Sus scrofa: one gene and its partner. The protein of the gene in region 2 purifies or fractionates together with the protein of the main gene of each other region. This does not show direct contact. Links are inferred from orthologs where the notes say so. Each region holds a gene or a part of one and is shown on either strand. Other genes may lie near its edges.

Region 1 (3,744 bases), on a different chromosome or scaffold from region 2:
GCCAGCAGCTGCAGCTCGAATTCAACCCCTAGCCTGGGAACTTCCATATGCCAAGGGTGTAGCCCTAAAGAGACCAAAAAAAAAAAAGTCTTTTAGGGGACAAGTATATGAGTTTTACTTTAAAGAAAGGAAAAGATATTCTGGAGTTCTAAGTAAATTATCTTAAGCCCTAAATTAATTTTATTCCTAAAATTCCCACTGTAGTGTGAATTCCTGAACAATGTTCTAAATTTAACATAGTACATGAAAAATAAGAACTGTTTCTATTTTTCCCCAAGCCACAGAAGCATCTACTATATAAAATGGTAACAACCAAAGGTAGGTTGGCACAGAAAAATTATTGGCTTTATGAAAAAGAGCAGTAGAGTCCTGACCCAATGGGAAATCCTTCCTAGAGACTCAGGATCACAACAAAAGTGTCACATCCTGAAAATACAAGTGATATGGCAGAACTTCTGTGCCCTCCTCTACCCCCATCACCATTTTTCTTCTTCACTGGGAAATAACCCCTTAAAATCAAATCTGCTTCCTTATGGTCCAGGAATGACAGTAACATTCCTAAGGTCTATGGCGAATAGCAGCTAAAAAAAGAAAAAAAAAAAGGGCACAAGAAAATTAGTTTTTACTTACTAACAGTGGTTTACTAACAATAGAGCATTAAGATTATAGAAGACGTGAAGAAAGACCTTGCTGTGTAATGAACTTGAGGTATAAGGAAGTAAATGAAGGGCTTCTAGTGGAACAAGTCCAGGCTCTGCATGTCTGGGTTGTAAGAGTTCAGCAGGCTGGCTCTACTTGTTTTTCTGCTTCCTTTTGTGGAAGTTCAGACCAGCTGACTCATAGTTACAGAGTTAGTCTCAAATCAGACCCTTAAAGAAATGATAGCAAAAGCCTTCTGTTAAGTGGCCTTTAAACTTTTCCTTTAATCTGACGATACAGTAGAGCAACCATAAAAATAAAACAAAGTGTCCCAGTAATATTTAATAAAAAACAGACTAAGATGGCTTATGTACATATAAAGTTAAGCTAAGAAAAAAAAGTCATTTGCTTATCAACTGCCATGTTATTCTTGTTAAGTAAATCTAAACCAGACACCCAAAAGGCTCAAAATATAAATGGTCTAAAACTGTTTCAAAAACTGACACCAAGGCCTTTTTATGGGGTTTAGTGGAAAAACCTAAGTGACAGTCTGACTTACCAATGGTGGGGTCATGATCTTCTGGAAATCGGTGGCTGATGAACTGCATGGTCATGGCTTTAAAACAAGAAGCGAAAGTTAAAATAAATACAAAGATGACCAACAGAAAGAACTGCAAGTATCAATATTGCAGGACAGTCTCCTACTTGGTTTTCGGGGAGGGCATCTGTTGTGAGCATTTTTCATTCTTACTTCTTTAAAATGGAAAATGTCACCTACCGCTTTTCCCTACACCGCCAGCACCTAGCATCACTAGTTTGTATTCCCGTGACAGCCCTGCAGGGCTGTTACAGCTACCAACTGGGCGAGTTCCAGAATCCATTGTCCTCTTGGAGAATCCTGGGCTGCCCGGAGGAAAAGGCACCTGGAAAGAAAGAAAATATTTAATCCAGGATGGAGACCCCGTGACGACAGTCCTAGAGCCAGTGCCCTACCCCTGCTCCCTTTCTGGCGACCCTCAGGCAACACGTAGCCTCACCTTCCCTCCAGGGCAGCTCAGACCCATGACATATCATAGATTTTCTGAATTACTACTTTTTTTCAAAAAAGAATAAAAAGAGACAAAGAAATTTGGCATTTCTTTGCAGACTGGGACGCCGGCACAGCAGGAGGGAGCCCAGTGAGAAAGTGCAGTTTGGGACTTAGGCCTCAGGGTTTCCTCTCAAGCCCGCGGTACCCGGAGGTTCAGCCCCCTCTCCATTCCCCTCGGAGGCTGCTCTCCTCCCCCGGCAGCACCTCGCGCCGCCATCAAGCCCCCCACCCTTCCGCCTCACAAGCCAACCCCTCCGCTGCTCGTACCCGTCGGAAGGTTAAGGCCACTGCCGGGTCTGATCACCCACTTCGTCCTCGGTCCTCCTCATTCGCGGCGAGGATCTGGCACTGACCTGTGACCCCTCCCGCAGCTGGGGAAGATGGCGCCAGCAGCGCCCGCGTCTCAGCAGGAGGGGCGGGGCCGCCCTCGTGACGCAGGGGACTGGCCCCGCCTCCTCCGGGGAGGACCATCTCCTGCCAGGTCCTCAAACCCCGCTCATCGCTGAAGGCCCTGGGGGAGTGCCACACTCAGCGCCCCCCTCTGCCACAAAACTATTTACACCAAAGTCAAGCAAGGAGGATGTGATAAGGGGCACACTGGAGACTTCTACAATAACAACTTGCCCAGGACCATTTATGAGAAAAACAAATTTGGCCAAATGTAATGAGGAAATGGGCACCTGCCAACCCCCCCCCCAAACAGGACCAAGGTGTTATTGCTTAGTAACAAAAAAAAGCACCTGGCTTTGACTTTACAGCAATAAATTAAGACACTATCAATTCTGTTCACCTGTATTTAGGTGGGTAACACATAGAAGTACTAGAAGGAACTTTATATGGGCAAAATTTTCTGTTGCAACTTCTGCCCATCCTTCTTCCTTTCTAAGCATGTTTTTCCAAGAATACTTATATTTCCTGGAGTTCCCGTGGTGGCTCAGTGGGAATGAACCCAACTAGCACCCATAAGGACACAGGTTCGATCCTTGACTTTGCTCAGTGGGTTAAGGATCCAGAGTTGCCGCGAACTGTGGCTCAGATTCGGCACTGCTGTGGCTGTGGTGTAGGCCGGCAACTACAGCTCCGATTCACCCCCTAGCCTGGAAACTTCCATATGCAATGGGTGCAGCCCTAAAAAGCCAAAAAAAGAAAAAGAATACTTTCACTCAGTCCTTTTAACCACATTCAATAAAGGAGGGCAAGAAAATGAAAAGGAAAAACATCCACCATAACAATCCTTTACATTTCACTTGGACTTTGCAGGGTTTACTTTGAAAAGTCATAAAACACTTGGAACTAAAAGAAAAAAATTAAAAAAACAAAAAACAACAACTTGGAACTAAATGCAAACTCTTGGGTCCAGGTATGTATTTTTCTGATGGGGGTTATAGTATGCTGTGAGCAAAAAAGTTTATGAATTTTAGTGCATGGATACGTTGTGGAAGAAAGAACAGAGAAACCACAAGCAGAATATTTATACATTTATTTATAATGAAATTATGTTCTAAATATTTACAACATATAGGAAACCAGAGGATACATTTATACAAAGCCAGCCTGCAAAGTATTCAAATGTGCAAAAATGATAGTTCAATATCTCAAACTACTCCTGGTTCAGCAGACTAGCTCCTTCACTTTCACACATCAATATTTGATACAAAAAAAGTTCTTTTGGCAAAACCTGTAATGCCAAGAAAAAGGACAAGTCGCAATCTCAGTCACTAAGTCCACCATTCTATTGCGAGCAGTCAAATCTCTCTATTTTCGCTGCAACCAGTTCTGAGAGAGACAGACCACTGGGTTTCATTTCTGTGATGAGTTCTGACCAGCTTTTGATCAAGCAGTTTTCTCTGACCCACTTGAAGACAAGGAGCTTAGACGGGCAATAAAAACAGCAATGGCTCTCTGAGACGAGAGTGCCTGAAGGTGCCAGCTTTGGATCATCCCAAAGAAATAAAGAAAACCTTCAATTCCCCAGGATCCAGCTATATTCAACAGTTTTAAATTAGTAAAACCAC
Region 2 (3,744 bases):
CCTCTCCCTGCAGAGGCGACGAAGTGATCTCCGTGGCCAGCATGAACTACGATCCCATCGTGTCTAAGGTGGCTGAGGTGCTGGCCTCTGGCCGCAGCATCCGGAAACGGGAGGTGGAGTGAGTGTGGGCTCTGGGGATCTTGGGGAAAGGGGAAAAAGTCCCCTGAGGTGCTGGCTCAAGCTCCCTCCACAGCCCTCGAGGGTCCTCCCCCTCTCCACTTGGCCACCTCAGTCTCAATCAGTCTCAGGCTCCCAGAACGATGGCCTGGTGTGGGGCAAGGCTTATGGTTTGGGAGTGGGCTGGTTATTTGTGCTCTTGGGGGATAGAAGGGAAAGAGGCCGTGTCCAAGGGCAAAGCCAGTGCTGTGTGGATGGGTCAAGACTCACTGCTTGGGCAGTCACTGGGGCCGGGACACCCCATTGAACATGGCTGAACTCAATTATAGGGCAGCAGGATGTGGCTTGTGTTGCTTCTGGGGCACCCTGCACAGAGGTGGGGGATGGTTGTTCAGGGTCTGTCCAGTGAGCCACTGGACACCAGTCATTACTCTCATCTGGGCATGGTGCCAATGGGAGTCACCCTGTGGACTCCACCCGCCTATAGAGAACCCCCAGGACTGAGGAAGCCCTGGAGGCCATGAGATGGGGTCAGGGGAGGAGGCTCAGGCTGGAAACATGGAGAACCAAGTGGGGACATGGTGAATGACATGATGTCTCCCCAGCCTTCTCTGTCTTTCCCTCTTGCCTTCGCAAAGACTGTTTCTGCTGCACAGCAAGTACGTACATCCCCTCTTCCCTCTGAGCCTTCCCCACCTGCCCAAGTACACACCCCTGCTGGGTGCCAGGGCCTTGCACAGCCCTCTTCTGTCTTCAAGGTCCAGCTGCTCACGGTGCCCCGTGGGGAGCCTGCTCCCTCCTGCTCTCACTCCTCCTCCCTCATTCCTGCAGGACCGGCGACATGTCCTGGCTCACAGGGAAAGGATCCTGAACTTGCATGCAGCGGACTCGGGCAGGCATGCTGGGGTCCCAGGGACAGAGGCCAAGCCAGGGGGGCAAGTGCCAACCTCCAGTTCCCCAGGATCCTCCAGGGCAGAACCTGAGCCCTCCCAGTGTTTGGCTTCAGCTGCCTGGTTCCCCTCCAGAGAGGCCCCAGTGGCCTCCAGGAGAAGCTCACCACCCAAGGCATCCAGTGGCATTGATAGGCCTGCCCTCCTATCCCTCTACTGGGACTGGTTCCCTGTAGGACCCTGTGACATGTTAGACAGTATCTTAACATTAAAACACACACATTTGCAGATCTGTGTGACTTCCACTGTAATTGGGCAAACTCCCCCAAGGGAGAAAGCAGATGATGGGGAGACAGGCATGACCAGAGACCACAGAACACCCAGTGTTTCACCAAGGAATTTTGGCCCAGAGGAGATAGCAACTGATTCTGCCCCATGTCTTGGATCTGGATTTTGAAGAAATGGCACTCCAAGCAGAGGGAAAGCACATGCATAAAGCCCGAGACAGGGAATGCTTCTTCAGAGGACAGTGGGAACTCGCGCTTAGCAGTTGGGGGTGTTTGCCCATTAAGGTTCGAGCAATGAGTCCGGAGACGGACCCAGCCTGAGCTTCCTGAATGCCCATTTCGTAGGTGAAGCAGCTGAAGCTCTGCCAGAGTAGGACCGAGAATCCAGAGCCTCTGTGCACGCAGTCTCCCAGCCAAAAAGAACGCCATGGGGAGATGCGGGGGCCGGGCCAGGGACAGAGCAAGAAGGGGATGGTGGGGCGGCCCGCGGAGGCCACTGCGAGCCCGGAACCCTCCGTCCGGGATCCCGGGCGCGGCGGACGATCGAAACCGAGCCATGCGCACAGGGCATGCTGGGAGCCGCGCCGGGGAAGTGCGGGCCGGGAGGGGTTGTGGCCAGGGCGCCGCGCTCGCTGGAGGGGGAACCGCACGCCCGACCTCCGCGGGAAGCTCTTCCCGGAAGTCTATGCGCTCGCCGCACAATCCGGCCTGCCAAGCCACTGGGTCGGTGAGGCTCTCCCGGAAAAGCGGGCGGCCGGCAGTGCGGCGACGTCGGCCCAAGGCTCGCCGGGAAATGTAGTCTCTCGAAGCAGCCCGGGGCGGTGGCCTCACGTCCAGCGGACCCGGTGGCCCATCGGGCGTGGACCCGGCATGGCTGGGCCCGGTGGCTCGGGGGCCCCGATCGGGGCCGGGGCCCTGGCCGGTGGAGCTCGGTCCAAAGTGGCCCCGAGTGTGGACTTTGACCACAGCTGCTCGGACAGTGTCGAGTACCTGACGCTCAACTTCGGGCCCTTTGAGACAGTGCATCGTTGGCGGCGCCTCCCGCCCTGCGACGAGTTCGTGGGGGCCCGGTAGGCGGGGCGCGGGGGTCCTGGGGGGTGTCTGAGGAGGTCCCAGGCAGGCCCCTGGGCCAGGCTGGGCTGTGGTTTCCTGGGGCGAGACCTGGTGTGTGTTGGGTGAGGTGGGTCCAGGTCCGTGTCCAGGGCAAGGGAGGGGCTCCCGAGGGAGTCTCCGAGTGGGGTGGCCCAGGGCAGAGTATTAGAGTTACATTGTGTCTGTGGGTCTCCAGATGGGGTTCCAGGTGCTCTGCAGTGGGTTGGGAGTGTCAGGAGTCCCCACATGCAGAGTCCTTTAGAATACTGCTGGAATATTGGGGTCTCCATCGATCTTGGCAGTTGAGAGGTGTCATCTGAATTCTTTGGCAGCCCCAGTGCCGAGTCTCATTCTTTGGGTGACCCCTCAGGAGGGTCCTGGCCTCACCACCACCTCCCTCTCTCTTTCCAGGCGCAGCAAACACACAGTGGTGGCCTATAAAGATGCCATCTATGTATTTGGTGGAGACAACGGGTGAGTGAATCTGGATTGGGGAGGGAGAAGCAGGGTAGCTCGCACTGGGCCTCTGCAGCTTCACTGCTGTCTTTCCAGATGTTAGCTAAGCCCTTAGCATCCCAATCCATGCGGTTCCTCAGCACAGCCTCTGTGTGGTAGCACACACCCAGTACACAGATATGTCCCTCTCGCTCTCAGTGAGTGGACATCAGCTTGAAAGAAACACCTTACCTGTAACTTCTCTCTGGGCCACGAGCTCACATGGCAGTTGAGGTTTGGAGGATACAGATTTGTTTATTCCTGCCATTTTCACTTTTGTAAGGGTTTCTCCATGTTGCTGTAAATTCTGGAAATAACTTTCCTGGAAGTATATCTCAGCCCATGAACAGTTCCCAGCAGTAACAAACCCAGTTAGTATCCATGAGGTTGCAGGTTCGATCCCTGGCCTTGTGCAGTGGGTTAAGGATCCGGCATTGCTGGAGTTCCTGTCATGGCTCAGTGGTTAACAAATCTGACTAAGAACCATGAGGTTGCGCGTTCAATCCCTGGCCTACTCAGTGGGCTAAGGATCCAGCGTTGCTGTGAGCTGTGGTGTAGGTCGCAGATGCGGCTCAGATCCCGCGTTGCTGTGGCTGTGGCTGTGGCTGGCGGTTGCAGCTCTGATTAGACTCCCTAGCCTGGGAACCTCTATATGCCAGGGGAGTGGCCCTAGAAAAGGCAAAAAGCCAAAAAAAAGGATCCGGCATTGTTGTGAGCTGTGGTGTAGGTCACAGATGGTGCTCGGATTCCACATTGGTGTGGCTGTGGTGTAGGCCGGCGGCTACAGCTCCGATTCGACCCCTAGCCTGGGAACCTCCATATGCCGCGGGAGCGGCCCAAGAAATAGCAACAACAACAACAAA

What was found. Proteins that work in one complex are often made in the same cells at the same time.
Region 1: the proteins of LZTR1 (region 2) and RIT1 purify together in Homo sapiens (affinity purification with mass spectrometry; 3 studies listed by BioGRID and IntAct, counting the BioPlex papers as one, with this or other methods). This does not show direct contact. The link is inferred for Sus scrofa from reciprocal best matches to the Homo sapiens genes LZTR1 and RIT1.

The regions. Positions count from the first base shown.
Region 1 is NC_010446.5:94,116,111-94,119,854, reverse strand, and holds the start of RIT1 (GTP-binding protein Rit1), read right to left. Parts: upstream 2,135-3,744; 5' UTR 1,997-2,134; intron 1,567-1,996; exon of another isoform or gene 1,563-1,566; 5' UTR 1,521-1,562; coding exon 1,418-1,520; intron 1,256-1,417; coding exon 1,199-1,255; intron 1-1,198.
Region 2 is NC_010456.5:50,574,979-50,578,722, forward strand, and holds the start of LZTR1 (leucine-zipper-like transcriptional regulator 1), read left to right. Parts: upstream 1-1,434; 5' UTR 1,435-1,729; coding exon 1,730-2,364; intron 2,365-2,797; coding exon 2,798-2,860; intron 2,861-3,744. Other genes in the region: AIFM3 (apoptosis-inducing factor 3), read left to right, coding at 14-118, 949-988. UniProt on the Homo sapiens protein: Substrate-specific adapter of a BCR (BTB-CUL3-RBX1) E3 ubiquitin-protein ligase complex that mediates ubiquitination of Ras (K-Ras/KRAS, N-Ras/NRAS and H-Ras/HRAS).